Linked DNA regions of Lytechinus pictus. The protein of the gene in region 2 interacts with the protein of the main gene of each other region in a pairwise test. Links are inferred from orthologs where the notes say so. Each region holds a gene or a part of one and is shown on either strand. Other genes may lie near its edges. The genes, in order: U1 small nuclear ribonucleoprotein A-like and probable tRNA(His) guanylyltransferase.

What was found.
Region 1: the proteins of probable tRNA(His) guanylyltransferase (region 2) and U1 small nuclear ribonucleoprotein A-like interact in binary tests that used the Drosophila melanogaster proteins (3 or more experiments, as listed by UniProt). The link is inferred for Lytechinus pictus from reciprocal best matches to the Drosophila melanogaster genes THG and snf.

The regions. Positions count from the first base shown.
Region 1 is NC_087250.1:14,947,120-14,956,237, forward strand, and holds the start of U1 small nuclear ribonucleoprotein A-like, read right to left. Parts: upstream 3,621-9,118; 5' UTR 3,567-3,620; intron 3,555-3,566; exon of another isoform or gene 3,443-3,554; intron 3,299-3,442; 5' UTR 3,252-3,298; coding exon 3,191-3,251; intron 1-3,190. UniProt on the Drosophila melanogaster protein: Binds stem loop II of U1 snRNA. It is the first snRNP to interact with pre-mRNA. This interaction is required for the subsequent binding of U2 snRNP and the U4/U6/U5 tri-snRNP. Plays a role in regulating sex-lethal splicing.
Region 2 is NC_087256.1:740,206-748,375, reverse strand, and holds the start of probable tRNA(His) guanylyltransferase, read right to left. Parts: upstream 3,866-8,170; 5' UTR 3,517-3,865; intron 1-3,516. UniProt on the Drosophila melanogaster protein: Adds a GMP to the 5'-end of tRNA(His) after transcription and RNase P cleavage.

The DNA.
Region 1 (9,118 bases), on a different chromosome or scaffold from region 2:
CCCATCTTTTTTTCTCTTTTTATTTTCTTGTGAAATTCTATTCAGACCTGTATTTATCAAATCTTGCTTCTTAATTGCTGCTTTTGATTTTCAAGTTCTTGATTAGATCATTTCTACTCTTATTTGGGATGGGAGGGGTAGAGTTAAAAGTCAAGTCCACATCAACTAAAAATTATTTGAATAGAGTAATTTCCCTTGTTGTTTTTACTAAAAACAGTCATATACACAAAACAATGATATGCAAATTAGAGTTGTCACCCACATCACATTCATTTCTATTTTTTGTGGCATTTTGTTTTTTATTCTTTGCAGATTTGAATCAAAGTTTTTACGAAATTTCCTGCAATATCTTGTTATTTTTCTTTAAATTCAAATGAATTTTTGATTGCATGGACTTCTCCTTTACTCTTAATGTAGGGAATGCATAGCAAAAAATTTTCAGAACCAAAATTGTCTTAATAGAATATGCAAATCAGTAATTGGACACATGTTCACTTTTCTTTCATCCAGGCCACTTCCTCACATCCACCAGGCTTTCAGTCTTATAACAAAAATGATGAACCATCACACAACAGCACACAACATTCACAGTGCTTCACAATAAATATTTCACTTCTGTTCATACATGCAATAAATATTGTGGAAAACAAATAAAAGGCGTACCCATATTCAAATACTGTTTAAAAGGACAAATATATTATACCTTTCGAGAAAAATCAGCACGTTAAATATCTGATAACAAAACATAATTATGGGGCACTGCAAGAAACTTATGTTCAATTGCAAATCAAGCGTAAGTCTTAAATTCAAATTCAAGCGTAATAAGGTCGAGTTGCAATCGCAATTCAACTACATGTTTAATCAAAGGACTTACCCTTGATTTGGGACGTGTGATTGAGACATTTCTCGCAAAATGCCCTAGTAACATTAAAATTGTTCTTTCGTTTTAAATTGTGTGTTATTATTTTTGACAAGCTGTATTCCTGTCCAAGTCAAATTTCTTAGTTCTCTCCAAAACTGTGCTCAAAATTGTTTCCAAGATTGATAAAGAAAATTTTTCTTTTGTATCATTATCATTCCACAACTTGCAAACCGTAGGTCCTGGAAAGAGTGAAGAAAAAAATGGCTATATCCATATCATAGTAAAAGGACATGATGGAATCTCCCAGATTGAGGTAGCAAGCAGAGACCAGAAGTCACCAGAGTCAGCAAGTGTGCAGATCTGTGTGTAGAAGAGAGAAAAAAAGAAATAGTTTAAATAATCAAATCAAAGTATGAATTCAATTATCGTGATGATTGATGACGTGCGGTGGCATGTAATTCCCGGTCAACAACAAATGATAGTAGGTTTAGACACCTGAAAAGTTCCACTCAGAACACTGATGCTCTACCTCAAGTGATGTTTGTGTAAGCCCCACTCCACTTCACTACCGTACATGTACGCCACACCTACCCAGGTAGGTGTGTAGCGTAGTGTAGGCTGTAGCAGTAGTGAAGTGGAGACTACACGAACATCATTTGAGGTACGGTGCTCTATGAGTCTCTGTGTCATTACAAAGATTGCATTTATCTTCATTGTTGAAGGCATTACGCATGCATATATGCAGCAACACTCTAATCAGAAAGAAACACCAGACTCTAATTATGGCCCACCCAAGGGTTCATTACATGCCGCCGCGCAAAGAAAATTCAAGCCATAGAAGTCGTGTGTTGTGGACCCAAGAAGTGAGATCCCAGCACGCGCGACCCACTAGTTAGAAATCCACTGCCAAAAACGCGGTTCGTGGTGCGAGGTTAGTATACTAATACTAACCTCGCAATACGTGTGAGTGATTTTGGCCAGGAATCAGGGTAATCACTGCTGAAAATTTGTCTGGCTTCATGACATCGGCATCATGGTGATATATTTCTGTGTATAATAAAAACTTAAACATTCCTCTGAAACAACAGATTTTCAGCCATGGTCCATACCAGTGATCCTAAATAATTTAATCGCCTGCCCGAGTCCTGACCAGTTTTAGAAATCTGAAGAAAAAATCTGCTGGAATTGTGCAAAAACATTATTTCTATAAAAAAAACTTTTTAATTTTAATAGTATACGCCAAAATGCATGATTCTAAACTTATATCAGATCTGTATCTGTCATCTGACCTGAATGCATCGTCAGAACAAGTACAGTTTCCAAACATGCTTACCTTGACTTTTGACTGGATCAAACAGCGTAACCTGCAGTGCAACATGCATCGGGAGCAAGTGAATGGGACCGTGCAGCTTGGAGTTTTTCAATAGTTTAAGTTAGTAGAGCAACACAACGTAGACTGTCGAGTGGACAAAATCGATCTTTCCAGTTCACAATTCAATAAAAACCGGGCAAAATAACACAGTTCTGGTTCCCTTAATAGTCTGAAGTTGTCGAAAACAGAATTCGGATATCACAATACATGAAGAAAACGGTAAATTCGAAGAAAAATAGAGACCAGGAAGGTGAATCAGCTATCACTCAGTGTACTGCTGGCAGAGCGGCTGAGTGAGTCGATCATCATGTGACGTCATTATTCTCGACTGTATTTCATCGCGTTAGTGTGTGTCTGGGGGCGGATGGGGGGCTGAGAAGGGTCTCTAATAATTTCATTTCTTGCATTTCCACGACATCAATAAGACTTTTTAGTGACATATTTGTGTATAAAAAGACAAGACCTTTCCATTCATATATAATTTGTCTATAATCATCACTTTCGTGAATTTTCTTTGGATGTATACTTTAAGAATTTTTATAAAATAGCTGTATTATTTCAAGCATCGCGATTGGTCAATACGCGTCACATGACATCCAACTTTTTTTGTGCACTGCACGGTAGTGCAAAAGGTGTGCAACGAAAATTGACATTGCACGCTCGAGCAAACCAGTGCGGTAAAGTCCTACAAAACTGTACTGTAACTTTTTAAAAAATTGTTTCTGTGTTGCTATTTTATAAAACAAATAATGCACTTGCTCTGTCGTGCGTAAAAGTAAATGCAGAGAAAGCTCGGTTTCTTCAGATGGAGCACACTGGGCACTCGCCGCAAGCGGCTCGTGCACAGTGCGACTCCTATCTAAAGAAACCTCGCGTGCTCTGCATTTCCACTAACGCACTCGGCTGCATGCATTATTTGTATACTAACGTCAACGAGCATGACTTTTTTAACTTACCATCTTTCTTTATCTTTTCATTAAGGTTGTTGATGTAAATTGTGTGATTTGGAGCAGCCATCTCGACTTGGATTCTCACTTTTTCAGTTGCTGTAGGTTAGAATCTGACTGAAGAAAAATTAAGAGTTGAGACGAGTCAGAAAAAAATTACCCGAAATCTCGCCCAGTCAAAATTACACGAAATAGTATATCTGGGACCACGTAATAAATACGATTATTTTCAAATACTCAAAATACAAAAACATATATTACTTTGGGATCGAAACATCCAGGTATGATAGCAATAAATATAATTCAATTGAAAGAATATACAAATCAAGATGGATGAATGATTAAAAAGTATGATTTTGAACGATTCTCAAGTGACAACACATACCCTCTCACAACACATAAACGCCAACAGTGTAATTAAATAAAATAAGCGGAAATATTTATCCTAATTTTATTGCCAATTTGATTACTAAAATGATTGCTAGTACATAACCGAAAGTTGGCGCGGGGGTCTAATGTTTTATTTTCCGGTGAGGAGGGGGGGGGGGGCGAAAAATATTTAGAATGTTATAAAGTAATTTTCTTTGCAAATAAACTGAAAATCTTACACAGCCCTAAAAGCGAGCGGGCAAAACGTTCTAGGCTGATAAAGTGTGCATTTTATTTTTATTTTATTTATTTATCATCCAGTAATCACTATTTCTTTTGTATTTTATTATATGAAATACTGAATATTTGAATTTTCACTTCATTGTCAAGTGAATCAAAGATTAATTCCTCCCTGAACATGTGGAATTAACATTATTTTGATACTATATGGGCCCGTATAGTGGGTCAGTCAAGTTGGCCCTTCCCTGATAGCAGAAACTGGTAAAAATGACGTTATATTTACGTCATTTTTACGACGAGTCTCACGTCATATTGACGTCGTAACATGACGTCTTAATCACGGGATCTTGCACCCGCGAATAACGTCATTATGACGTCGTATATTGACGTCATTATGACGTCTCCAAGAGTGACTACGACGTCTTAATGACGTCTTTGCAACGTTTTTACAACGTTTTCCTGACCAGTATCAAGGGTCAGATTGACGTCGTGTATTGACGTGATTATGACGTCTTCGAGAGTCAACCACGACGTCTTAATGACATCCGTGCAACGTGTTCCTGACCGGTTTTAGACGTCATATTGATGTAATTATGACGTCTTTAAAAGTCATCTACGACGTCTTAATGACAATTTTGCAACGTATTCCTGACCAGTTTCAGACGTCATAGTGATGTAATTATGACGTCTTTATAAGTCATCTACGACGTCTGAATGACGACTTTGCAACATATTGCTGACTAGTAATAGACGTCATATTGACGTCGCATATAGAAATGAATATGACGTCTTTTGGAGTCAACTATGATATCTGAACGTATTCTGACGTGATAATGACCTTAACATTAAATTCTACATGCAATGTACATACACACATCACTTCAAAGACCTTGTCATTGAGGATTATCTATATTTGGTGAATACTGAGGTGGTCTGAAAATGTCTAGCATTCCCAGTAACAATATAATGATCCTCCATGCCAGGGCCTTGCATAACTTGTCTCAGTCTCAAGAACATGACCCCCCCCCCCCCCCCCCGAAAAAGAATATATACAAAAATGGAAAACGAAATCAAATACATGTACGCATTTCAATTACGAAATCGTGGCAAATATTCTATTAATAAATAAAAGTTGCATAACATGATATTACCAGCAAAAAAAAGGAAAACCAAAAAGTTGAAAACTCTAAATAGATTTTTTAAAAACCCCACTTTTCTATGAAAATGCAGTATTAGGGTCAAAGGAATGAAATTACAATGTTTGTTATACCAATACATACAATTGAAAATGTATAAATACACATTAATACATAACAGAGGCATAATGATTTCCAAGAATAAAGCTTTTTCGTTGAAATTGTAATTAAATATACCTTCAACTTTAGACAACTATGTAATGTATTTTTTAAAAAATACCTGAGTTGGAATAATTTCATGATTTATGGAAGCTCGCATTTGGGTGAAAGAATCATACATGTACATTAATTCTTATGAAAAGTTTGGGTTGTATTACACTATCACTTAGGGGTAAAAGAGAGTAGTTGCAGCAAACAATTAATTCTTCGGAAAGTCTTTTAAATTATGGTTAATTGTCAAAATATTGTACATAATCTAGATCTGGGCCCCGTCTTACAAAGAGTTACGATTGATCTGATCAATCATAACTCTAAGGAAACCCATCAGTGTCATAATTTTTTTTCTACGAAAAATTTGCACAATGTCCTTTGTATGCAAAGAGAAGCGCAGCAAATTTTTGAGAAAACAATGAATGCATGAACATACATCATAGCTAGAAAATATTTTGAACAAACATGCTTAATAGATGTTAACGTTGCTGACCGTCCATATTTGCGATTGATCGGATCAATCATAACTCTTTGTAAGACGGGGCCCTGGTAAATTAATGTAAACTTGTATCTTTGTAAAATCATGAATTTTGAACTTAAAGAGAAGTTCCAGTAGTTGCAGTAAACACTGATTTCATGAGAAAGTCTGTAAAACAAGGCTTAATTGGCAGTATATCATCGAGGATCTAGATCTGGTACAGTTACATAAACTGAACTTTGTGAAATCCTGAAATCTACGCTGAAAAATGTTCACACTGAAGATCACCAACACAGATAGGCACACGTGGGACAGTGTATTATTATTGCTGGAATAAAGACCCGACGGAAGTGACCGAATCCGCGCTTATTTTGCTTATTTCTCAGCAATTACACAATTTCTTCCAGAATCCTTTGGCACATATTTTTTATTCATACAAACAAACACTTGGGTGGTCATTATATTAGATTCTGTAAAAAGTCATTTTGAGATCGTTACCAAAACTGGAATTTATCTTTAAAATCAATAATTCTGATGATCACTAACACAGAAAAGCATATGAGGGACTGGACAGTGTATTATGATTGATTCGAAAAATACTCGACATTTGATAGAATTACATGCTTATTTTGCTCATTTCTCAGCAATTACACATTTTCTTCCCGAGCTATTTGGCACACATCTTTTATATATACACTTTGCTGGTAATTCTGTTGGATTCTGTTCGAACTCATTTTAAGATAGTTACTACTAGAGGTGGGCTATTAACTTAAGGCAACTATGTAATGTAGGAAAAAATATACTGTATTTTAAAAAAATACCTGAGTTGCAAGGTTTTCATGATTTATGGAAGCTTGCATTTGGGTGAAAGAATCATACATTAATAAGTCTGATGAAAATAGTTTGTGGAACTGTTGTATTACACTATCACTTAGAAGGAAAAGACAGTAGTTGCAGCAAACAATTATTTCTTGAGAAAATCTATAAAATCAAAGTTAATTGTCAATATATTGTACATAATCTACATCTGGTACATTAATGTAAACTTGTATCTTTGTAAAATCATGAATTTTTAAACTTAAAATCGATAATTCTGATGATCGCTATAAACACAGAAAAGCATATGTGGGACAGTGTATTATAATCGATTCGAAAAATACCTGACATTTGATAGAATTACATGCTTATTTTGCTCATTTCTCAGCAATTACGCATTTTCATTTTCTTCCCTACATGTAGCTACGTTGGCTTTTTATGTGAGCTGAGAGATTTCATACCAGATTTCCTATGCTTGATAAAGTTCTTATGATAGTCTGTGTATCAGCATAGCATGTGTTCAGTGTTTTGAACCCACTGGAAATTGTGCATCATATCTTTATGTATGGAAGTCATTTTGCGTCTGCGGTCTCCATGGTTTTTTCAGGATCTATGTGTTGACTAGACCAGTCCCATATTGATATTTTCATGCTGTGTCACTTTGGAAGGCCGTCTCTAATTGGTTGACTGGTGAGTTGGCAGATGCACAGCCCATCCCACTTTTCAATTATATCATTACGTAATCTCTAACATCATGTCTAAGATATCCACCAGATCAAGAGGCCGCTTGCACTCGGCTAACGCATGTACACAATCCTCTGATTCATCATTAACTGGATCTAAACAAAGCCCAGCATACCTAAATCATATTGATACAGTCGTTCAAAGAGCGGCGGCCGTGGCAATGGAACGCGAGAGACAAAAACTCAATGATGACATGGATAAGCACGAAAATAAATTGCGTGAAATTCTTGATGAAAAACTCACTAGTCCACACGTTCTTGAAATATCTATCGATACTAAATTGAAGCAACTCCGTGATTTAAAAAAATCTGTTTCTGATAACATGACTAACACCATAATGCTTTGTCAAATAGGCTTGACCACATCGAGCAGTACTCCTGTCGCAATAATATCCGTATCCGTATGAGATTGTTCGAAATGCAGCAAAGCAGATTGGTATCGATCTTACTCCATGCGACATTGATCGATCCCATCACCTTCGCCGACCAACTAGCAGTCATGATGTTCAACCCCAAGGATCATACCCCAGCGTGGCCCTGTAATGCCAACTTAGCAGCTCCACCAATCAATGTGAAATTCACTTCATACAAGCCGAAACGAACGATGATGAAAAATAGAGCAGGCAGGCAAGGCAGTTCAGGTGGGATGAAAATTTAATGGCAGGACACCTTCCATTTCAATTTACAGCATCTGCAAAAATAACAGAAGAGGAGAAACATAAAAACCTTTTCTACATAAACTATTTATTAATCTTCATTAAAAACTAGATGGTTTCAATATTAATTTCCAATTTATTTCAAATGATTTAAAAATGATGTGGGGTTTGTTACAGATTTTATACTTCAAATATTAACATGTACAGTCAAGTCGGGGGGGTGGGCATGATGCCCTCACGACCTTTAACCATCTCTGTATAAGGAAGGAAAATTTTAGAATCAATTTATTTGACACATAAAACTTTTTTTTTTTTATTATTACAATTTTAATTCAAGCCTTTTTATGTGTTTTAAATGGTTATGGGGTAACCAGGACTGTCAGGACTGAGAATTTGAACTTCAAGGCCGAAATACAGCCATTCCCTATGCCTGATTTGGCTTAAATTAAGGTCAACTGGTCAAGGATCAATTAAATATATATTTTGCAAAAAAAATCTGACAAATTTTGAGGTGGAATTAGTTTTCTTGCATCGCGAGATCGACCAATGCTAAATTTTATTAGCGCCAATTTACCATCTAAACTTTTCATTGAAATTAGAACATCCAAACCGATCCACTATGTCAGCCTGGAATCTAGTACCAGTACTAGCACAATCAATCAGCTATGCATGTGCACCAATTCTGTATTTCTTGCATACGTACGTCACTCGAGTTAAAATTCATGTCATTGCGTTATATAGCGTGGGAACTGGAAGTGATCCTTCAAAATTTTTACCTTCCTACGATTAACATTTTTTAAGCCTTTGTATGCATTTAGAGTACAAAAGCTTACAAATTGGACAAATTAGCATTTTCTAGGGAAATCCATCTTAGTGTACAAAGTTCTACAGGCAACAGAGACTTGTCTAGGCTCCGTGAATGAAAATACAATGAAAAAATGATAAAAATATCACAGAGTCCTCGAAGTACAGTCAGGACCATTGACAGATTATAAGGTGCCCCAAGTTTGCGCACACCCAAATCTGCGTGATTCTGATAATAGAGATTCCCAATGAACCCAAATAAAAAATAAGCTTTACATCTGAAATAGCCTTCTTACTTACCTACTGCCCGATGCCTCCTAGCATGTAGGGCAGCAACGAAGGATCTCCACTCCTGGCATCTGACGATTCTGGGCCTTCTTCTGGAAACTCCCCCAGGCCAGGTCATATTCACTGACTTCATCTCCTCCTCAACTCCTCATGTGTGACACCGAGACAGGTGGTTTTTGTGTCTCCCTCTCTTTCTC
Region 2 (8,170 bases):
AAAATTGAAATATTGTATAATTCAAACAATAAAAAACAAAAGAAATAGTGAGTGAGTGACATCATCAACTCTCTCATTTGGATGTAACTGACTCGTTCATATAACTATTTTGTTAAAATTAAATGAAACTTTGAAATGTCATAACTTTCTTATTTTACATCCGATTGTGATGAAATTTTCAGCATTGTGCTTGTCTGATTTTTCTCTATTGATTCAAATCAACATTTTTCTGAGGTGGACTTGACCTTTAATATATATATACTGTAAATGGGGAATTGTATGACGTGGATGAATCACGCATATGAAAGGGGCTTTCAAATGTGTTCAGAACTGAACACGTTTGATGGTCCCTTTCACACACAGTTCGCAACAATTCCCTCTCGTATATTATATAGAGGAGATCCAAAAAATAGCGAACTAGTTCGCTACAGTTTGACATGCTTTATAATAGAGAGGAGATGAGAAATTGCGAACTAGTTTGCAGCAACAATTCCCCCCTCGTATATATATATGTAGAGATCAGAAAAATTGCGAACTAGTTCGCTACAATTTGACAAGCTCTATAATATATAGAGGAGATGAGAAATTGGGAACTAGTTTGCAACAATTCGCCCTCGTGTATATGTAGAGATCGGAAAAAATTGCAAACTAGTTCACTACGGTTTGACACGTTCCAAAATATATAGAGAGGAGATGAGAAATTGCGAACTAGTTTGCAACAATTTAACGTCATGTATATGTAGAGATCCGAAAAATAGCGAAATAGTTCGCTACAATTTCCCCCTCGTATATATGTAGAGGAGATCTGGAAAATAGCGAACTAGTTCGCTACAGTTTGACACGTTCTATAATATATAGAGAGATGAGAAATTGCGAACTAGTTTGCAACAATTTAACGTCGTGTATATGTAGAGGAGATCCGAAAAATAGCGAACTAGTTCGCTACAATGCCCCCTCGTATATATATAGAGGAGATCCGGAAAATTTCCCGTTCGTGTATATGTAGAGGTCCGGAAAATAGCAAATTAGTTCGCTACAATTTCCCCCTCGTATATATGTAGAGGAGATCCGGAAAATAGCAAACTAGTTCGCTACATTTCCCCCTCGTATATATATAGAGATCCGGAAAATAGCGAACTAGTTAGCTACAATTTCCCCCTTTGTATATATAGAGGAGATCCGAAAAATTGCGAACTAGTTCGCTTCAGTTTGACACGTCGTATGATATAGACTAATACAAGGAGATTGCTACAAATTTTGACGCTTATATATAAGCGTTGAAGATCGCAATATTTGCCATCTATAAAATACTGTGCGTATGAAGGTTCCAAAAATTGGTTAATAAAAAAGTGAAAATTTTAAAATTTAAGGTTTCTTACCAGACCGATCTCATGTAGATCCCTCGATCCGTTTGTCAACAAAGCAAATACAATAGGTCTGACCCTTGAACCGCTTCGTTATGAAGTACATTCGATTACATCGCTAATTGAATGTACGTCATAACGAAGCGGTTCAAGGGTCAGACCTATTGTATTTGCTTTGTTGACAAACAAATCGAGGGATCTACACGAGATCGGTCTGGTAAGAAACCTAAAACTTTTCACTTTTTTATTAACCAATTTTTTTAACCTTCATATGCATTAGGTGTTTGAAGGTTAAAATATCAATAAAATTTACCCTCTAACTATGGATTTCCTAGGGAAATCCATCCGGGTGTCTAGGTCTCGCTTCTGCGTCTATGCCTGGAAAGAGTTAGTGTCAAGGGCAGGCTCCATGATGAAGAAGTATATGTCAAAATATTAAAAAAACATCATGGAGTCCTCGACTGCTCAAGACTAATCCCGACCTAACCCAGGGAGCTCCAGCCCGCGCAGCGGGCCGGAGCCCAGGGGCTTACAGTGTAATTCACCATACCCACGGTAGTAGCGTGAAGTATGGTCTAAATAATTATTCGAATAAATAGTTAAAACAGAAATTAAGCACTTACCACGATTATATGGATGAAGGTCTAACGAGTGGCAGCTTCCTGACATCGAGGCACAGACTGGAACCTCAAAAAACGAAAAGTTCTGTCGCGGTAACTCTCCTTCTTTCAGAATTCATAGCAAAATGGCCGTTTGAGACCGGTACCGAGGGTGTAGGGCGCATGCGCGAATTTGACAAAGTCTATATGCGCTAGTGCTATAGCTAGCCTCGGTCTCAATCGGCCATTTTGTTTTGAATTCTGAAAGAAGGAGAGCTACCGCGACAGAACTTTTCGTTTTTTGAGGTTCCAGTCTGTACCTCGATGTCAGGAAGCTGCCACTCGTTAGACCTTCATCCATATAATTGTGGTAAGTGCTTAATTTCTGTTTTAACTATTTATTCGAATAATTATTTAGACCATACTTCACGCTACTACCGTGGGTATGGTGAATTACACGGTAAGCCCCTGGGCTCCGGCCCGCTGCGCGGGCCGGAGCTCCCTGGGTTAATCCCGACCCAGGCCAGGCTCCATCATTCATGGAGAGTAAGCCTACCGGTACTTTTATTAGAAGACTGATTTTTACCCTCCAGAAGCCTCCAGGCTAATCGATCTAACGTTAGGCCTACTTGAAAATCACCCAATGCAGACTGCAGTCACTGTCCAGTATACCGCCCATTACTGGATACTATTAATATACCAAGTTGTTGTGTGTCCGGACAGGTTGTGTGTCCGGACGATCAATTTTAGAAAGTCATTTGGAAAAATTTACAAGCGAAGTTTCATAAATTTTTAGTACAAAATGTTAGGAAATATTATAAAGAACAAAATAGAAGATGATTACAATACAACTACAAGTATTGAATTCATATTTTTAGTGTAATCCAAATACAAAAAAGAAGGCTTCAAAAATATAAAGACTAAAGTGTCCGGACACCCGATCCCCCATCCTACATGTAGTACTAGTAGGATGGGGGGTCGGGTGTCCGGACACTTTATATTTTTTTTTGTCTTTGGATTACACTAGACACTAGTAAAAATATGAATTCAATAGTTGTATTATAATCATCTTCTATTTTGTTCTCTATAATATTTCCTAACACTTTGTATACCCAGTTGTTGTGTGTCCGGACAGGTTGTGTGTCCGGACGATCAATATTAGAAAGTCATTTGGAAAAAATTACAAGCGAAGTTTCATCAATTTTTAGTACAAAATGTTAGGAAATATTATAAAGAACAAAATAGAAGAGGATTACAAGTATTGAATTAATATTTTTAGTGTAATCCAAAGACAAAAAAGAAGGCTTCAAAAAGATAAACTGTCCGGACACCCAATCCCCCATCCTACTAAAAATTGATGAAACTTCGCTTGTAAATTTTAACAAATGACTTTCTAAAATTGATCGTCCGGACACACAACTGGGTATACGTAATGGAGACATCTACGGTACTCACAGACACAGTCACTCACAGCCTAACTTTAGACAGGAATAACCGTCGTTTCTGGGGATTTATTCAACAATTTCTGACATTTTACTATAATCCCCATTTACCATGTATTGGTGAGTGAGCCAACGCGGTTCAGCGGAACAACCAAAATACAGACTGAAGCTTTTGGTCTACTCACAGCCTTGCCACCCCGGGAGTTGAGCGGTCAAATTCAGATCAGCTCAGCGTCCGCAGTCAACTGCTGAGATGTGCGGGCGAGAAGAAGTTTGCACATTTATAAAACATCATCGGAATTTGTTTATCACGTTGTACGGTGTCATTAATGATAGTTAAATAGATATCGAATAAATTAGTTAGGAAGTTAGGGTGTTACTAGCTACAGAAGAAGATCTCAATTTAGTGACGTCTCGAAAATGTTTGATCCAGCAGCCGGCCTTTTGCTCAATGTGGGATAAAGATACCGTACCGGTACCAGGCTGAAGCCAGCGCACAAACCCAGCGCACAGAATATAGTGCAGCAAGCCAGCGAACAAACCCAGCGCACAGAGCTATCGCGATACAAAACGCCCAGCAACGTGTGCGTAGTCTATTAGTTGCAGACCCTAAATACAGCTTAAATTCACAAACGTCTCGAATATTGTCATAATGCGCACGGAAATGGTTTTTAGTTAAAAGGCATAGTTACCCAAACTTACCGTGATTCAAAAATATGGAATTTCCGTTATGCATTATTCCACATTAAGATTGCTTCAAATATTAGTATATGACTGATAACATTTATGACATGGCAATGGCATATGCAGTGCAGCTGAAAATAATACAAATCGAGAAGAATCAAACACGGGATCAAACAAAGTTGGTAAAACAATATCGGACAAGGATAACAGAGTTATGATATTTTAAAGATCCGCATTTCGGACAGTTCTATATGCATTTCTTTTTTAACATTCAATGGAGAAAAGTAATATCTTCTGTATACTTATTCCCACTGTTTTAATCATAAGAAATCATGATTATTCAAAGTTCCTCCTCCTAGAATTAAAAATATTGCATCAAAAATATTAAAGCATTTGTTCATTAATGGACATTATTTTGATATAAGAGACATTACATGATTAAAAAAATGATTTCATGTAAGAACATTTTATATAAGCAAGACGAAAATTGGAACACGATCGAAATCATAATCACTCAATGGATAGTCATGACTGCGTGCATTTTATTTTCACAAAATACTGCTGACTTCAATATTCATTATCAGATTTTGATGATTGCTTCCGTATTCTCCTTTGTAAATTTAACTCTTATTGATAACTATATTATTCCCAGCGCGGAGGATGAATCCATTTTATGTTTTCTAAGTTTCCTACATGTATCAATATATTTTTTAATATTCCCTTAAAAAATGCATCAATTAATGATTTTATGTGAAGGATCAGTCCCTCTCACATGGGCCTTGAACCAGGGGGGGGGGGGCAGACCCACATTACATTCTCAATAAAAATTAAATACTGAACGACCTTGATCCATGCATCCCCTGCGTTTCGAGAAATCTTAGACCCCGTCCCCCCTTTTCTGTGCACCACTGTTCACCCCTAGATCGATGGAGTGATTAATAAAGATCAATTTGGTTGATTTTCAAGACATGAAATGGTTATTTTGATTAGCGGCGAATTTATTTCCAAACCAAAGTGGAATTGTTGGAATACACATAGCACGCGCTATGTTTTGATCGACGCACCCCCCACATTTCGGGGCATCGGAGACCCCGTCCCCCTTTTCTGTGCACCAATCTTCACCTCTAGATCGATGAAGTGATTAATGAAGATCAATTGGCTTCATTTTCAAGACATAAAAAGGTGATTTCGATTAGCGGCGAATTTATTACCAAACCAAAGTGGAATTGTTGGAATACACGTATATAATACATAGCATTTTCGTCCATGCCCCCCTACCTTTCGGGGCATCGTAGACCCCGTCCCCCTTTTCTCTGCACCAATGTTCACCCCTAAATCGATGAAATGACTAATAAAGATCAATTTCGCTGATTTTCAAGACATAAAAAGGTGATTTCGATTAGCGGCGAATTTATTACCAGCCCCCGGCCACCAAAGTGGAATAGTTGGAATACACGTACATAATAAATAGCACGCCATAACAGCTCGCGCGATATTTTCGGCAATGCACCCCGACCTTTCGGGGCACCGTAGACCCCGTCCTCCTTTTCTGTGCACCAATGTTCACCCCTAGATCGATGGAGTGATTAATGAAGATCAATTTGCTTCATTTTCAAGACATAAAAAGGTGATTTCGATTAGCGGCGAATTTATTACCAAACCAAAGTGTAATTGTTGGAATACACGTATATAATACATAGCATTTTCATCCATGCCCCCCCTACCTTTCGGGGCATCGTAGACCCCGTCCCCCTTTTCTCTGCACCAATGTTCACCCCTAAATCGATGGAATGACTAATAAAGATCAATTTCGCTGATTTTCAAGACATAAAAAGGTGATTTCGATTAGCGGCGAATTTATTACCAGCCCCCGGCCACCAAAGTGGAATAGTTGGAATACACGTATAGCACGCCATAACAGCTCGCGCGATATTTTCGGCAATGCACCCCGACCTTTCGGGGCACCGTAGACCCCGTCCTCCTTTTCTGTGCACCAATGTTCACCCCTAGATCGATGGAGTGATTAATGAAGATCAATTTGCTCCATTTTCAAGACATAAAAAGGTGATTTCGATTAGCGGCGAATTTATTACCAAACCAAAGTGGAATTGTTGGAATACACGTATATAATACATAGCATTTTCGTCCATGCCCCCCCCCCCCTACCTTTCGGGGCATCGTAGACCCCGTCCCCCTTTTCTGTGCACCAATGTTCACCCCTAAATCGATGGAATGACTAATAAAGATCAATTTCGCTGATTTTCAAGACATAAAAAGGTGATTTCGATTAGCGGCGAATTTATTACCAGCCCCCGGCCACCAAAGTGGAATAGTTGGAATACACGTACATAATATATAGCACGCCATAACAGCTCGCGCGATATTTTCGGCAATGCACCCCGACCTTTCGGGGCACCGTAGACCCCGTCTTCCTTTTCTGTGCACCAATGTTCACCCCTAGATCGATGGAGTGATTAATGAAGATCAATTTGCTTCATTTTCAAGACATAAAAAGAAGATTTTGATTAGCGGCGAATTTATTACCAAACCAAAGTGGAATTGTTGGAATACACGTATATAATACATAGCATTTTCGTCCATGCACCCCGACCTTTCGGGGCATCGTAGACCCCGTCTCCCTTTTCTGTGCACCAATGTTCACCCCTAGATCGATGGAATGATTAATGAAGATCAATTTGCTCCATTTTCAAGACATAAAAAGGTGATTTCGATTAGCGGCGAATTTATTACAAAACCAAAGTGGAATTGTTGGAATACACGTATATAATACATAGCATTTTCGTCCATGCACCCCCTACCTTTCGGGGCATCGTAGACCCCGTCCCCCTTTTCTGTGCACCAATGTTCACCCCTAAATCGATGGAATGACTAATAAAGATCAATTTCGCTGATTTTTAAGACATAAAAAGAAGATTTTGATTAGCGGCGAATTTATTACCAAACCAAAGTGGAATTGTTGGAATACACGTATATAATACATAGCATTTTCGTCCATGCCCCCCCCCCTACCTTTCGGGGCATCGTAGACCCCGTCCCCCTTTTCTCTGCACCAATGTTCACCCCTAAATCGATGAAATGACTAATAAAGATCAATTTCGCTGATTTTCAAGACATAAAAAGGTGATTTCGATTAGCGGCGAATTTATTACCAGCTAGCCCCCGGCCACCAAAGTGGAATAGTTGGAATACACGTACATAATAAATAGCACGCCATAACAGCTCGCGCGATATTTTCGGCAATGCACCCCGACCTTTCGGGGCACCGTAGACCCCGTCCTCCTTTTCTGTGCACCAATGTTCACCCCTAGATCGATGGAGTGATTAATGAAGATCAATTTGCTCCATTTTCAAGACATAAAAAGGTGATTTCGATTAGCGGCGAATTTATTACCAAACCAAAGTGGAATTGTTGGAATACACGTATATAATACATAGCATTTTCGTCCATGCATGCACCCCCTACCTTTCGGGGCATCGTAGACCCCGTCCCCCTTTTCTGTGCACCAATGTTCACCCCTAAATCGATGGAATGACTAATAAAGATCAATTTCGCTGATTTTTAAGACATAAAAAGAAGATTTTGATTAGCGGCGAATTTATTACCAAACCAAAGTGGAATTGTTGGAATACACGTATATAATACACAGCATTTTCGTCCATGCCCCCCCCCCTACCTTTCGGGGCATCGTAGACCCCGTCCCCCTTTTCTCTGCATCAATGTTCACCCCTAAATCGATGAAATGACTAATAAAGATCAATTTCGCTGATTTTCAAGACATAAAAAGGTGATTTCGATTAGCGGCGAATTTATTACCAGCCCCCGGCCACCAAAGTGGAATAGTTGGAATACACGTACATAATAAATAGCACGCCATAACAGCTCGCGCGATATTTTCGGCAATGCACCCCGACCTTTCGGGGCACCGTACGTAGACCCCGTCCTCCTTTTCTGTGCACCAATGTTCACCCCTAGATCGATGGAGTGATTAATGAAGATCAATTTGCTTCATTTTCAAGACATAAAAAGGTGATTTCGATTAGCGGCGAATTTATTACCAAA